Linked DNA regions of Stegostoma tigrinum. The protein of the gene in region 1 interacts with the protein of each later gene in a pairwise test. Links are inferred from orthologs where the notes say so. Each region holds a gene or a part of one and is shown in the gene's direction. Other genes may lie near its edges.

Region 1 (8,494 bases):
AGGATATGTGCACACCAAATTACCCACAGAAAGCAACTGGATAATGACCAGATCATCTATTTTCAGTGATGTTAGCTGTATCAAATCAACGTGTGTATTTAAATTTTTAAATGAATTTCCCATATGCTAGTTTCTTTTCAGTCAAACCAAATCTACGTTCAAAAATAATAAAATGTGAGGCTGGATGAACACAGCAGGCCAAGCAGCATCTCAGGAGCACAAAAGCTGACGTTTCGGGCCTAGACCCTTCATCAGAGAGGGGGATGGGGGGAGGGAACTGGAATAAATAGGGAGAGAGGGGGAGGCGGACCGAAGATGGAGAGTAAAGAAGATAGGTGGAGAAGGTGTGGGTGGGGAGGTAGGGAGGGGATAGGTCAGTCCAGGGAAGACGGACAGGTCAAGGAGGTGGGATGAGGTTAGTAGGTAGCTGGGGGTGCGGCTTGGGGTGGGAGGAAGGGATGGGTGAGAGGAAGAACCGGTTAGGTAGGCAGAGACAGGTTGGACTGGTTTTGGGATGCAGTGGGTGGGGGGGAAGAGCTGGGCTGGTTGTGTGGTGCAGTGGGGGGAGGGGATGAACTGGGCTGGTTTAGGGATGCAGTGGGGGAAGGGGAGATTTTGAAACTGGTGAAGTCCACATTGATACCATATGGCTGCAGGGTTCCCAGGCGGAATATGAGTTGCTGTTCCTGCAACCTTCGGGTGGCATCATTGTGGCAGTGCAGGAGGCCCATGATGGACATGTCATCAAGAGAATGGGAGGGGGAGTGGAAATGGTTTGCGACTGGGAGGTGCAGTTGTTTGTTGCGAACTGAGCGGAGGTGTTCTGCAAAGCGGTCCCCAAGCCTCCGCTTGGTTTCCCCAATGTAGAGGAAGCCACACCGGGTACAGCGGATGCAGTATACCACATTGGCAGATGTGCAGGTGAACCTCTGCTTAATGTGGAATGTCATCTTGGGGCCTGGGATGGGGGTGAGGGAGGAGGTGTGGGGACAAGTGTAGCATTTCCTGCGGTTGCAGGGGAAGGTGCTGGGTGTGGTGGGGTTGGAGGGCAGTGTGGAGCGAACAAGGGAGTCACGGAGAGAGTGGTCTCTCCGGAAAGCAGACAGGGGTGGGGATGGAAAAATGTCTTGGGTGGTGGGGTCGGATTGTAAATGGCGGAAGTGTCGGAGGATGATGCGTTGTATCCGGAGGTTGGTAGGGTGGTGTGTGAGAACGAGGGGGATCCTCTTGGGGCGGTTGTGGCGGGGGCGGGGTGTGAGGGATGTGTCGCGGGAAATGCGGGAGACGCGGTCAAGGGCGTTCTCAATCACCGTGGGGGGGAAGTTGCGGTCCTTGAAGAACTTGGACATCTGGGATGTGCGGGAGTGGAATGTCTTATCCTGGGAGCAGATGCGGCGGAGGCGGAGGAATTGGGAATAGGGGATGGAATTTTTGCAGGAGGGTGGGTGGGAGGAGGTGTATTCTAGGTAGCTGTGGGAGTCGGTGGGCTTGAAATGGACATCAGTTACAAGCTGGTTGCCTGAGATGGAGACTGAGAGGTCCAGGAAGGTGAGGGATGTGCTGGAGATGGCCCAGGTGAACTGAAGGTTGGGGTGGAAGGTGTTGGTGAAGTGGATGAACTGTTTGAGCTCCTCTGGGGAGCAAGAGGCGGCGCCGATACAGTCATCAATGTACCGGAGGAAGAGGTGGGGTTTGGGGCCTGTGTAGGTGCGGAAGATGGACTGTTCCACGTAACCTACAAAGAGGCAGGCATAGCTGGGGCCCATGCGGGTGCCCATGGCCACCCCCTTAGTCTGTAGGAAGTGGGAGGAGTCAAAAGAGAAGTTGTTGAGTGTGAGGACGAGTTCCGCTAGGCGGATGAGAGTGTCGGTGGAGGGGGCCTGGTCGGGCCTGCGGGACAGGAAGAAGCGGAGGGCCTTGAGGCCATCTCCATGCGGAATGCAGGTGTACAGGGACTGGACGTCCATGGTGAATATGAGGTGTTGGGGGCCAGGGAATTGGAAGTTCTGGAGGAGGTGGAGGGCGTGGGTGGTGTCACGGACATAGGTGGGGAGTTCCTGGACCAAAGGGGAGAAAATGGAGTCCAGATAGGTGGAGATGAGTTCGGTGGGGCAGGAGCAGGCTGAGACGATGGGTCGACCAGGGCAGGCAGGTTTGTGGATTTTGGGAAGGAGATAGAAACGGGCCGTGCGGGGTTGGGGAACAATGAGGTTGGAGGCTGTGGGTGGGAGGTCCCCTGAGGTGATGAGGTCATGAATGGTGTTGGAGATGATGGTTTGGTGCTCGGGTGTGGGGTCATGATCGAGGAGGCGGTAGGAGGTGGTGTCGGAGAGTTGGCGTCTGGCCTCGGCGATGTAGAGGTCAGTACGCCATACTACCACTGCGCCACCCTTGTCTGCGGGTTTGATGGTGAGGTTGGGGTTGGAGCGGAGGGCTGCCCGTTCTGCGGGGGAGAGGTTGGAGTGGGTGAGAGGGGTGGAGAGGTTGAGGCGGTTAATGTCTCGACGGCAGTTGGAGATGAAGAGGTCGAGGGAGGGTAGGAGGCCGCCTGGGAACCCTGCAGCCATATGGTATCAATGTGGACTTCACCAGTTTCAAAATCTCCCCTTCCCCCACTGCATCCCTAAACCAGCCCAGTTCATCCCCTCCCCCCACTGCACCACACAACCAGCCCAGCTCTTCCCCCCCACCCACTGCATCCCAAAACCAGTCCAACCTGTCTCTGCCTACCTAACCGGTTCTTCCTCTCACCCATCCCTTCCTCCCACCCCAAGCCGCACCCCCAGCTACCTACTAACCTCATCCCACCTCCTTGACCTGTCCGTCTTCCCTGGACTGACCTATCCCCTCCCTACCTCCCCACCCACACCTTCTCCACCTATCTTCTTTACTCTCCATCTTCGGTCCGCCTCCCCCTCTCTCCCTATTTATTCCAGTTCCCTCCCCCCATCCCCCTCTCTGATGAAGGGTCTAGGCCCGAAACGTCAGCTTTTGTGCTCCTGAGATGCTGCTTGGCCTGCTGTGTTCATCCAGCCTCACATTTTATTATCTTGGAATCTCCAGCATCTGCAGTTCCCATTATCTCTGATACTACGTTCAAAAAGATTGTTATCTTAAAAGGCCAGCAGGAGGCATTCAAAATCTAATTTATTATGTCAATTTGAAATGAGACTTTCAAGTTTTGTATTCTTTTTTAGGACCTATGTGTAACGACGAAAGGTTTTTTTCGAAGAATAAACTGCACACAACAAATAAGGGCCCAAACCCAAGGGGATTGCAATCTTGCAAAGGCAAAGATACTATGAAAATATTCTATCTTCCTAAGATTAGGATTATTTCAGTGACTTGGAGACAAATAAGGACTGCAGTTGCCAGAAGCCAGAGTTTATAGGTGTAAATCTGAAAAAGCATAGCAGGTCAGAGAGCATCCAAGCAGCAGGTATAACTAAAAGTTTGGCCTGAAATGTTCAATTATCAGTTCCTCGGATGCTGTCTTACCTGCTGTGCTTTTCCAGTCTCACAGCTACAGACCATAGTTATTTCAGTCTTTTCTCCAAGGTTAGAAGATAAACAGGCAAATAGCCAACCTATCTTAATTTATCACCTATTAAATAATCATACATTTTTGCTGCTACTACCGTACAAGAAAAACAATTTATATTTATATAGTGTCCCTAATCCAGTAAAACATCTCAAGACACTTCATAGGAGTGCCAACAAACAAAATTTGACATAGAGCTACCTATCAGGACATGTGACCCAAAGACATTTCATTTTTCGGAACATTTGTAAGGAAGACAGAGGTACGGAGGTTCCAGTGGCCGGGGCCCAGGAAGCTGAAAGCATGACCACCAGTGACAGTAATTAAAATCTGAGTATGCAGAACACGTGAACAGAATTTGAGAAGGTGACAGTGAGAGACAGAGCCAAGGAAGAATTAAAACAAAGACCAGAATTTTAAATTTAAGGTGTTTGGCCTACATTTACTTACAGATAAGCAATGAGTACAGGACTCATACATACGGTCTGGATGCAAGTTAGGAAAAGAGCAACAGTTTTACATGAGTTCAGGTTGGGAAGTGTCAAAGGTGTGAGACTGGCTCAGAGACCTTCTGATTGACAACTTGCCATCAGCTGATGGAAGTCTGAAGTCACATCAATGTGCTATTCGCAACAATGATCTGATGGTCACATTTGTTGAAAGTATTGTTGGGAAAACAGTGCTACAGCTTTCCAAGACTCCAAAAGGTAGAATAGATTCTCAGTCATTATTATTTGGGCTGTCTGAATTTAAGATGATTTAAAGGAAGCTAAATAGAAACATACTCTATCAAATAGAAGGCACACAATGCCAAATTCAACACTGATTTCCCCTTAATTCTCACCAGTATAGTACTGAGATTGTCCATCGAGTCCTAGGACTGAATTATTTCTAATTCCTACAAAAAGTGAGTTAAATTTTTGCTTAATCTTACCCATTAAGATGATAAAATTACAGATGGTCTCCTGCATCTGTAGATAATACAGTGGATGCCAGAATTCTGAAGGATTATCAAACTAAAACATTGACTTTACTTGACCCTCTGCTGCTGCCGGAAGACAGAGTTTTTTCAGCATTTGCAGTTTTAATTTCTGAACTACCATGTCTATGTATGTATAAAGTAGGCTAAACATGGATGTCCACTTGGGCACAGGGAAACAACAAAATAAAACAGAGTTGCAGATGATGGAAATTTGAAATAAGAACAGAAGTTGCTGGAAACACTCAACAAGTCTGGCAGCATCTGTGGAGACAGAAACAGAGTTAATGTTTTGAGTCTGGTATGACTTCTCTTCAGGAGGATTATTCTAATTTGCAGCTCCGTTTCTAACCCCGCTTCTCTGAACCATCCCGACGAAGATCGAGGAAAGTTTGAGAAATAGACATAACAAGATGAAACCCTTCTGGAGAAAAGTCCAGAACCGAAACATCAGCTTTCCGGCTCCTCTGCTGCTTGGCCTGCCGCGTTCATCCAGCTCTACATCTTGTTACCTCAGATTCTCCAGCATCTGCAGTTCCTACTTTCTCTGAACCAAGTTTGAGAAATATCTGCCTCAGCACCCGCTTGACAATAAAACACCCGCCCACCCACGCACGCACGTTAAAAGACCATCGGCCAGAAGCGTGAACATTGCTGTTTGTCTCTACCGGTGCTGCCTTAGTGCTAATGAGAGCTTCCAGCCTCGGCCAGCTAATTTGGTGCACACTCCGCTCCGGTCCCCCGGCCCCGTCCCACCAAGAGGAACTGAAAGCGCGGAGCAGCCGGAACACCACTGCTATTACCTTCCGCTCGGACCGGAAGTGGCGGAAAACAACAACGGCCAACGGCGCGAGTGGTTCGGGATTGTATTTTTTTGTGAAGAAGCGGAGTCGGTCCTGGGGACAGCGAGTAGTGGCTTACTGAGGTGTAAGGGGAGCAGGATGCCGCGGAGAAAGGTGAGCGTTCCTGTAGGCCGCGGCTGAATTACAATCTCACCCTCCATTCCCTGGGTGGCAGGATTTATTGTAATCCTCTCGCCGCCACCATTCTCCATCCTCCTCCTCCCCGGTGACTTGTTTTTCTGCCGGAATCTCAGGGAGAGGGAAGGCTCAAGGTCTGACTCACCCCTTGACGGGCCGGACATGCCATTTTAAGGGAAGGGGAGAGAGGAGACGGGATGGGACGGAGCTTCTCTCGTTTCCTGCCGGCCCCATGGAAAATACGAGAAACCGCTGCTTGGCGCCGGGCCTGCCAAGGTCCCAGTGGCGCGCGCGGACCCGCCCCTCGCTCATTCTATTGGCAGCGACCTCTGTCAATCAAGGCTATGCCGGCGTTCCCGCCATATGATTGGCTGGCGGATAGTCGCCGCCCCGCCCCCGGGTCTGTTGGAGGGTGGAAGCGGTTTGTGCAAAAGCAACAGTGGCAGCTGCTTCTGGGCAGTGGGGGGCTGGGTCAGCCGAAACAAGACAAGGCACCACACCACGCCACCGAACGTAGTTACAGTTCGGTTGACTGACTAGTGATAAGCGATCAGCATTGTCGCACAGTTAGAATTTGTTGTCTGCTACCAACATAACCTAATACAGCGCGCTTTAATCTATTGCTAAATAAGAACCAAAAGAACTGAGGATGCTGTAAATCAGGAACAAAAACAAAGTTGCTGGAAAGGCTAAGCAGGTCTGGCAGCATCTATGAAGGGAAAAAAAAGTTAAAATTCTGAGGAAGACTGACTGGGCCCGAAACGTTAACTTTTTTTTCCTTCTCAGATGCTGCCAGACCAGCTGATCTTTTCCAGCAACTTCTGTTTAGTTTGAACCATTGCTGTCTGTACTGGGACCCAGTAATAAATGACAGTGGTAAAGGAGAAGCCAGTGCTTAGGTTAATTTAATTAATTCAATACAGTAGGTTTTCTTCATATTTCTGATTGCTGTCAGTACTGTATGATTACTGTGAGCCTTTCCCTTGATGCGCCTTCCTTTGACAATTTGGTTCTTCAGTTGTAAAGTGAAAATAAAGAGTGTCTTTCACAGCCTCCGGAGGTTCCCAAATATGTACAGCCGTTGAACTACTTTTGAAATGCAATCACTAAGAAACACCCAAGTGTGAGCTCAGCAAGCCGTCACGAATAGCAGAATAGTTCATTTATTTTCTGCGATGTTGTTTGAGGGATAGTATTGGCCAGGATGCTGGGGATAATCCCTTGTTCTTTGTTAGAGTTGATGGAGCATTTACTGTTGTATCCAAACAACAGCACTTCCTCAGTACTGCAGGTGATTAACGGTGTTGCATTCACGTGTTTGGCATGGATCGTGCTGCTTGATATGTTGCCAATTTGTAATTTATCTAATAGCAGTCTTCGTTGGAGTTAAAATGGTTCTGAAATGACACTAGAATTATCAGGCTGCCACAGTAACTGGTGCAATTCTTGTTAGATAAAAGTGATTCTGTGGGTGTAAGGTTGATTGGCTGGGCCAGCATTTATCGTTCATTCCTAAGTGCAATCGAAAAGGTTAGCTGCCTTCTTGAACCACAGCAGTCCATTTGCTGATGTACTTTGACCCAATGCCACTGAATGAATGGCAAAATTGTTCCAAGACATGGCGGAAGGTAAGTTGGAGGGCAAGTTGCAGATATTGGTGCTCCCAGGTACCTGCTGCCCTTGCACATCTAGATGATAACGATCTTGGGTTTGGAAGGAGCTGTCTATGGAGACCTGGTGAACTTTTGCAGGAGATTCTGTGTAGTGCTGTGCGTCTGTGGTAGAGGGAGTGAATATTTACGGATATGGTGCCAATCAGGTTGGCTTCTAATTCTTGGATGGTGTCAAACATATTGGGTGGTGTTGGATCTGTACTTATCCAGGCAAGCTAAGAGTATTTCAATATACTCCTGACTTGTGCTTTGTAGATGATAAACGGTCTTTGAGGAAACTTAAGTAAGCTATTCGCTGCAAGATCCCTAGCATCTGATCTGCTCTAACAGCCACAATATTTGTGTGACTGGTTCAGTTTTCAGTGAGTGCTTACCCCAGGATGATGCTAGTAGGGAATTCATTGATGGTTAGATTCTGTCAATGAGATGTTCATTTCCTAGCATTAGTTTGACATGAATGCTACTTCTCACTTATCATCCCAAGCCTGGATATCACCCAGATCTTGCTGAATTTGATCTGGAGGTGCCAGTATTTGACCGGGGTGAACAAGGTCAGAAATCAGATGCCACCAGATTATTATCAGGTGAAGGCAACGTTGTAAAACCTTAACCTTGGTCTATAATCTGCTGTCGTTTGATTTCTGAACTTGCTGTATTTGGGCAAGAACTTCTTCAGTGTGTGAGGTATCACGTATATGTTGCTGAACATTATTTAATCTTGAGTAAACATCTGTGTCTGATTTCATATTGGGAGGAAGGTTCTTAACGAAGCAGTTGAAGATGATTGGACCTAGAACACTATGCTAAGAAACTTCAGGCTTCTTGAGCTGTCGAACTGGTGTCCCTAATTCTGGGCCTGAGACCTGGGTATAAGTCCCACTTGCTCTGGAGGTGTGTCATAAGATGTCTGATCAAGTTAATTAAAAAAATCTACCCTGCAAGTCCTGCAATGATGCCCTTGAGCTGAAATGACTGACCTCCAACAATGACAGCTATATTTCTTTTTGGTGACAATGACTCAGACTAGTGGCAAGTTGCCTCTGATTGTCGTTGATATTAGTTTTGATATGGCTCCTTAGTTTAACACACTGTCGGACATGGCCTTGATGTCAAGGGCTGTCACTCTTACCTCACCTCACCTCTGGAACTCATCTCCTTTATCCATGTTTGAGCCAAGACTATAATGAGGTCAGGAGCTGAGTGGCCCCGATGGATCCCAAATGAGCAGGTTGTTGCTAATCGAGTGTTGTTTGTCAGCCCTGCTGCTGACCCCTACCATCACTGCTGATAAGCAACAGCAGACTGATTGGGCAGTAATTAA
Region 2 (8,329 bases), on another chromosome or scaffold:
CAAAGTGCTGGAGAAACAGAACAGGTTAACCTGAAAAAGTCATAGTGAACTTCTATGACTTTTATGCAGAGAGAAAGAGTTTATCAGAACTGCTAAGTTACGCCAACGCTTTCTGTTTTAATTAAACCAGCTTCTGTCTGTCCAAAAAAAACAACAGGAGCAGAAAGGCAAATGGAACTAGGATGTTCTGATTTTTAAATTGATAAATACAAAAGCTATGAGGTTCAAGGTTGAGCTCAGAAGTTACCAGTTATGGTTTTTTGTAGAAATGTTGGACAATCACCAAACCACAAGCAAACTCAAGGGTCCTCATTGCATCTCATAAGTTGGAGATTAGCTGGCACACTAAGCAGAAGACAAAGAGAATTCCAGAGAGCTTTGCCTTTCTTGGTTTGTTTCCAGATGAAGAGGTGAATGAACCCTCAAAATTGTGAAATTAAAGCAGTAAAAGGGGGACTGGATAAGAACTGATGATTAAAAGTCTTGACAAACTATGGTGTTAAGATGCTTGCTTTGTTTTTATATATACAGTAAAGTCTGTATTGTTTTAAAACATTAAATCGTTTGGTGTAGTTCTTCCAGTAACTCACTAGGTGTTCAGATTTCTCTATGGAACTTTCAACACCAATATCCTCATCATCCGGTAAAGTTGTGTGTTTATATTATAAATGCCAGTTGCCTTACATTTTAATTTTAAAACGATTGTTCCCATGTTGCTAAGCAGTTACAACTCAACAGTATGTAATTACTTTATGGGTGCTAAAAGTGTTCTTAAAGTGCAAGTTCAGATAGGAATAAAAAAATAAATTAAGCAACTTGCATACATCAAAATGAAACAGCAAAATGAAATGAGGGCTGAAGATTAGCCAGGATAGGAGGAAGAACTCCTGTGTTGTATTTTTAAGAAAAAGCATCATAGGATCTTTTACACTAAATAGAGATGGCTGATTAATCTTTAGTTTTAGTTTATATTGTGAAATAGACTTAGAATCATAGAATCCCTATCAGCCCATTGAGACCATACCAAGTCTCCGAAGAGCGAGCTGCCCAGACAATCCCCTACTATTCTATCCCTGTAACCCTGCATTTCCCATGGCTAATCCACCTAGCCTGCACAAACCTGGATACTATGAGCAATTTAGCATGGACAAATCCATCTAACCTACACGTCTTTGGACTGTGGGAGGAAACCAGACCATCTGGAGGAAACCCACCCACATATAGGGAGAATGTGCAAACTCCACACAAACAGTTTTCCAAGGGTGGAATCAAACCCAAGTTCCTGGAGTTGTGAGGCAATAATGCTGAACCACCATGCTACCATAAATACATCCAACACCTTTGGGAAAGATTGCAGAAAATTGAAAAAGAAACAGCATATTGTCAATATCTGTGTGCATCAAAAAAAATCTGACTGACTGCACAGTACTCCCACTTTGGCAGTTTTGTCCTTTGTAATAATTGTTCACATCTTCAGTGCTTTGAAAGACTTATTGTTTGTTTGAAGTATTTAGTTAATAGGAAATCTTTTATCTTAAGTTTAAACGTTTTATTTTGAAAGCAGTTCAATATTTTGCTTGTGGTTGATAAATGCTCACACTCAACAATGTCCACATTCCACGTTATCTAAATGTATCCAATTAGTCACTCTTCCAAAATGTCTTCGTGTAGCTATTGTTAGCTTGGAGCCTGGGATGAAAGCATGTTTTTGAGGGAGAGCATGTAGGAAATTAATTAAAAAATGCTTTACAAGAAGACAGGTATACCTCAAATGACATGATTCCATAGGTATATGTAGCATGCATTGGGGTCCTACACTATGGTCCAGGAGGGTCCAAGATCCAATTTGGGTTGAACACCACTGGGTTAATAGATGGCGGGGAAGAAAAGGAAATCAGCTGGAGTTCCTGTCACTAATCAGAAAGTGCTGACTGTCTGTCAGATGAAGACAGTCCTGCGTGACAAATAGTCACTTGTTTGAAATGCAGAAGGCTACTAGCATTAGCAAAGGTATATCACAGCCTTGAGCCGTAACCCTCTGGGAAAGGACGGAAAAGGGGAAGGAAATACTTACCAGGATGTTGCTGGGACTGGAGGGTTTGAGGTAGAAGGAAAAGCTGATAGGCTGGGATATTTTTCCACTGGAGCATTGGGGGCTGTAGGGGTGACCTTAAAGAAGTTTATAAAATCATTGTGCATAGGTGCATTGATAACATCAGTTGACAAGGTCTTTGTCCAATGGTAGGGGAGTCAAAAACTAGAGTTTAAAGTGATAGGGGAAAGAGTTAAAAGGGACAGGAGGGACAATATTTTCACACAGTGTGTGTGTACAATGACCTTCCAGAGGAAGTGGTAGAGACATGTTCAACTACAACATTTAAAAGACATTTGGATAGGCACATGAATAGGAAGAGTTAAGAGGGATATGGGCCAAACACAGGCAAATAGGACTAGTTCAGTTTAGGATACCTAGTCAGCATGGACAATTTGGACTGTTTCTGTCCTGTATGACTCTAAAACCGGAAGGTTTATTCATGAAAATAAAAATGAAACCCACTTTACTTGTGATAGATAGCCCAATGCATCATGTACGACAATGTTGAAGGAACCAAAGGCACAGTTACTAAATTTGTTGATCACACAAAAGGTAGTTAAGACTGTAAGTTGTGAAAAGGACGTAAGGAAGTTTCAAATGAATATAGACCACTTAAGTGAGTGGGCAAAGATCTCACAAATGGAGTATAATCTGGGAAAATCTGAAATTGCCCATTTCAGCAGGAAGATTAGAACAGAAATATATTATCTAAATGGTAAGAGGTTGCAGATCTTGAAGATACAGAGATATCTGTTTGCCAAAGTGCATGACTTGTAAAAGATTAGTATATAGGTACAACAAGTAATGAGGAAAACTAATACAATATTCTTATTTATTATGATGGGAATTTAATACAGAAGTAGGAAAGTTATACTTCAGTTATACAGGCACTGGTGAGATCACATTGAGTACCAAGTACAGTACAGGTCATCTTATTTAAGGCAGCATGTAAGTGTATTGGAAGTAGCTTGTAGATGCTTTACTAGACTAATGTCTGGAATGGGTTTGTTGTTTTATGAGGAAAGGTGGGACAGATGAGTCTTGCAAAGACTGCACCTTAGAAAGATAGAGGTGACTTGATTGATGTACACAAAATCCTGAGGTATCTTGACAGGATGGATGTAGAAAGGATGTTTCTTCTTGTGGAAGAATCTAGAACAATATTATTTTTCTTCATTTGATGAAGAATCACTAGACTCAAAATGTTATCCTGCTTTCTCCCACAGATGCTGCCAGACCTGCTGAGTTTCTTCTGCCACGTCTACTTTTGTTTCAGATTGCCAGCATCCACAGTTCTTTGTTATAATTTATTATACTGGAACTCAAAGGACACCCATTTAAGACAGGGAATGAGAAGAGAGTTTTTTTTTAAAATTCAGAGTATGGGAATGTTTGGAATGTTCTTCCTCAAAAGAAGTAGAAGCAGAGTCTTTGAATATTCTTAGGTCTAACATGGGTTCTTGATGAGCAAGAGTGTAAAAATTTGGCCAGGCAAAGTGGGAATATGAAGTAATCAGTGATCTTATTGAATTGTGTAGCAGTCTCAGGGAAAAATGTCTTACTTCAGCTCTTAATTCATAAAAAAATTATGTTTACCTAACCCAAAGGCTGGTTCTTGCTTAATGATTGTAGATCCTTCATCATTACCTTTTTAAATCAGTGATGCTTTAGCATTGTCATCCACTCCAAAGGGTGAGGTGAACTGGGATGTCATTGGTCTACCTCCACCAGACAAGTAGATAAATCAAATCTGCACTGTTGGTGTTATTCTGAGCAAGATACAGGGAAAACCCATCTGGTTAACTCATGTCCTTTTGGAAAGGAAACTGCCGTCCTTACCTGGGTCTGCCTACATGTGACTCCAGACCACAGCAATGTGGTTGACTGTCAACTACCCTCTGGGCAATTAGAGATGAGCAATAAATGCTAGCCTAGCCAGCAATGCCCTCATCATGTGAATGAATGAAAAAAAACGTGTATTTTAACATTTTACGAGAATGTTTGCATAGGCATTGACAGATTGAGAGCATGGTTTGTAAAATGTACCATTTCCTATTGGAATATAGAGTGTAGGAACTATGACTTTTGTAAGGCGTTAGATTTGATCTGATTTATTATCATTACGTACCAAAATACAGCGAAAAGTGTTGTTTTGTGTGCTAAGCAGGCAAAAACACACCTTACATTAAGTACATCAGGGTAATAGAACAGAATGCAGTAAAGAGTAGAACGCTCCTAATAGAGTTCAGCCTGAGCTGGAATCTGTATCAATTTCTGCTAATTAATTTAAGTACAGAAAATGATTTAAGGGGTTGGTGTCCAGAATGATGAACTTCTGTTATAACAATAGATTGAAGAAGCTGGGACTGCTTCCGTGGAGAATAAAATTTGAGAGATTTATAAGGTCAAAGGTGCAAACACAATTACAGGAAATTCGGCAGGTATTCCTTTTAAACAAGAGGTGTTCATATTCACGAGGGGCTTGGATAAAATGAATAGGAAGTAAGTGCTCCAAGTGATGAAAGTATCAACAACGGGAGAGCACAGATTTAAACAATTTGCAAAAGAAGCAAAGGTGACGTGAAAAAAAACCCTGCCTGACGTATGGTGGTGGCAGTTTTAAAAGCTCTATTCAAAACAGAACGTAAAGGAAGAATGTTCGGTAATCGGGACAGAAGGGGGAAACCAAATGAATTCGGAGAGACAATGGGCCAAATGGCCTCCGTTGGTACCGTAATACTTTCTTGTGATATTCCTCCCTGCCAGCAGGGGCTGCAATCAGGAAAGGGCAGTTTAAGGGCGATAGGTTGGCAAAGCCTGCCCAGTTTCCTGTATTGGAAGCGAGGTTAGTTTATACTTGCTGGAGTTCAGAGGTGAGAACCTCGGTCTGATTGAATGGTGAAGGGTAACACTCGTCCGCTAAATTGTCACAAAGCGGCGGAGTATCACTGTGATACCGACCTGGCTGAGTAACGAACTAGATACAATGGAGCCATGAAGATCACTGGTTCGTATTCAGTGAGGCACGATAGAGGGGGTTGGGAAGAAGATAAAGGGAAGTGAGAGCAAGGGGCTGGAAAAAAAGCGGTAAGATTTAAAAACATATTCTCCGGGCTCTCATAGGCGTCTTAAACGCGAATATTTACAACACTGTTAAGCTATTCACTGGCTCACTTGAAGTGAGTCGACTTGGTTCCCATGGTGAAGCGTTGTCTGTCCCTCCCTCGGAAAAGAATTTGAGGAGGTTTTGTTCCCCCGCTCGCCGGGAGGCATGTCCTCGAAAACCTTCATTTTTAAAATAAATTTTTCAGGTGCTGTATTTAATGATCATCCCACTTTATTAATTTCCCGAGTGTCTCATCCGATTTTAACGGCAGGCAATTGAAATGCTGTCCTGTCCAAGCAAAGACAGCATGTATAATTTGCTCGTGTGTGTAACATTTGAAAAAATACATTTGGGTTTGCTCCAAGCAAACCGGAATCCAGAAGGACAGCGACTCCAGCTATGCTGCGAAGTGTTTCTGAGTTCATCTCTGCATTTCACTGGGCGCGTTGCTATCATTCCTTAAATGTAAAGTTCTAGCTACCAGCTTTCTTTTAAATTAAGTCTTGAAATTTAGCTTTCTCGCCATTACCGATCCTATGGTAAGAAAATCTCCAGAATTCGACCTACTATTTTTGAGAAAAGGTAGTGCAATATCTCCTTTGTAATCCTGTCTGGACTCACTTTTATTTCAAAAATATATTTTACTCATATAACCTATAAATACACACAAATTCTGTAAACCAGTTCTGTGCAATCCTTTTAATGAAAAAGAAACAAACAAAACGTTGAAATTTTGACATTTCTCCGACCTACCCAGAGCCGTACCTTTTTATTATTTCAAAATATACTGTATTCATGGTCATATCTTTGTAAATATTAGATATAGAGAGAGACGTAGCCACAAATGCAGTTCGGTTCTGCACGGTAGCATATTAAAGGAACAAACACCATCGAGTTTGACTCTACCCAAACCGACCAAAGGCATTCTTCCTTGAACCAGAGTATATTCACATGCATTTGATGGACCAGGAGGGTCTGACAAATGAACGGACCCCCATTTAACTTCAGCCTGGAGTCGTACGTTGTTTTATTTCAAAAATATATTTTATTCATAAGAAAAAACTCTTTGTATACGTTCATAGTCACAAATGCAGTTCAGTTCTGTACAGTAGCATATCAAGCAAATAAACTTCGGAGTTTGACTTTATCCAAACGCGAGTTCACTTTAACAGCCGGTTCAAAGTTGGGTTTTCGTTTGGTTTCTAATGTTATTCACTGTCCTGAATTATAATACCACTTCTGACTGGAGGTGACACCGTAAAGCTTTGCATTTCACACAACAGTGCCAGTATAAATGCATTTAAGGGCTTGATGTATTAGCGCAAGGAGAATAAAAGATTCTTTCATTTTTATCCTGTTTAAATAGCATAAGGTATTTGATAGTATCAGAGATAATGGGAACTGCAGATGCTGGAGATTCCAAGATAATAAAATGTGAGGCTGGATGAACACAGCAGGCCAAGCAGCATCTCAGGAGCACAAAAGCTGACGTTTCGGGCCTAGACCCTTCATCAGAGAGGGGGATGGGGGGAGGGAACTGGAATAAATAGGGAGAGAGGGGGAGGCGGACCGAAGATGGAGAGTAAAGAAGATAGGTGGAGAGGGTGTAGGTGGGGAGGTAGGGAGGGGATAGGTCAGTCCAGGGAAGACGGACAGGTCAAGGAGGTGGGATGAGGTTAGTAGGTAGCTGGGGGTGCGGCTTGGGGTGGGAGGAAGGGATGGGTGAGAGGAAGAACCGGTTAGGGAGGCAGAGACAGGTTGGACTGGTTTTGGGATGCAGTGGGTGGGGGGGAAGAGCTGGGCTGGTTGTGTGGTGCAGTGGGGGGAGGGGATGAACTGGGCTGGTTTAGGGATGCAGTGGATGCAATTCCATCCCCTATTCCCAATTCCTCCGCCTCCGCCGCATCTGCTCCCACGATAAGACATTCCACTCCCGCACATCCCAGATGTCCAAGTTCTTTAAGGACCGCAACTTTCCCCCCACGGTGATTGAGAACGCCCTTGACCGCGTCTCCCGCATCTCCCGCGACACATCCCTCACACCCCGCCCCCGCCACAACCGCCCCAAGAGGATCCCCCTCGTTCTCACACACCACCCTACCAACCTCCGGATACAACGCATTATCCTCCGACACTTCCGCCATTTACAATCCGACCCCACCACCCAAGACATTTTTCCATCCCCTCCCCTGTCTGCTTTCCGGAGAGACCACTCTCTCCGTGACTCCCTTGTTCGCTCCACACTGCCCTCCAACCCCACCACACCCGGCACCTTCCCCTGCAACCGCAGGAAATGCTACACTTGTCCCCACACCTCCTCCCTCACCCCCACCCCAGGCCCCAAGATGACATTCCACATTAAGCAGAGGTTCACCTGCACATCTGCCAATGTGGTATACTGCATCCACTGTACCCGGTGCGGCTTCCTCTACATTGGGGAAACCAAGCGGAGGCTTGGGGACCGCTTTGCAGAACACCTCCGCTCAGTTCGCAACAAACAACTGCACCTCCCAGTCGCAAACCATTTCCACTCCCCCTCCCATTCTCTTGATGACATGTCCATCATGGGCCTCCTGCACTGCCACAATGATGCCACCCGAAGGTTGCAGGAACAGCAACTCATATTCCGCCTGGGAACCCTGCAGCCATATGGTATCAATGTGGACTTCACCAGTTTCAAAATCTCCCCTTCCCCCACTGCATCCCAAAACCAGCCCAGTTCATCCCCTCCCCCCACTGCACCACACAACCAGCCCAGCTCTTCCCCCCCACCCACTGCATCCCAAAACCAGTCCAACCTGTCTCTGCCTCCCTAACCGGTTCTTCCTCTCACCCATCCCTTCCTCCCACCCCAGCTACCTACTAACCTCATCCCACCTCCTTGACCTGTCCGTCTTCCCTGGACTGACCTATCCCCTCCCTACCTCCCCACCTACACCCTCTCCACCTATCTTCTTTACTCTCCATCTTCGGTCCGCCTCCCCCTCTCTCCCTATTTATTCCAGTTCCCTCCCCCCATCCCCCTCTCTGATGAAGGGTCTAGGCCCGAAACGTCAGCTTTTGTGCTCCTGAGATGCTGCTTGGCCTGCTGTGTTCATCCAGCCTCACATTTTATTATTAAGGTATTT

Evidence for each region.
Region 2: the proteins of kat7b (region 1) and ninl interact in a two-hybrid assay, tested with the Homo sapiens proteins (2 studies listed by BioGRID and IntAct). The two-hybrid records come from large-scale screens. The link is inferred for Stegostoma tigrinum from reciprocal best matches to the Homo sapiens genes KAT7 and NINL.

The regions. Positions count from the first base shown.
Region 1 is NC_081384.1:23,490,334-23,498,827, reverse strand, and holds the start of kat7b (histone acetyltransferase KAT7), read left to right. Parts: upstream 1-5,312; 5' UTR 5,313-5,461; coding exon of another isoform or gene 5,462-5,476; intron 5,477-8,494. UniProt on the Homo sapiens protein: Catalytic subunit of histone acetyltransferase HBO1 complexes, which specifically mediate acetylation of histone H3 at 'Lys-14' (H3K14ac), thereby regulating various processes, such as gene transcription, protein ubiquitination, immune regulation, stem cell pluripotent and self-renewal maintenance and embryonic development.
Region 2 is NC_081362.1:20,262,395-20,270,723, reverse strand, and holds the start of ninl (ninein-like protein), read left to right. Parts: upstream 1-4,903; 5' UTR 4,904-5,182; intron 5,183-8,329. UniProt on the Homo sapiens protein: Involved in the microtubule organization in interphase cells. Overexpression induces the fragmentation of the Golgi, and causes lysosomes to disperse toward the cell periphery; it also interferes with mitotic spindle assembly.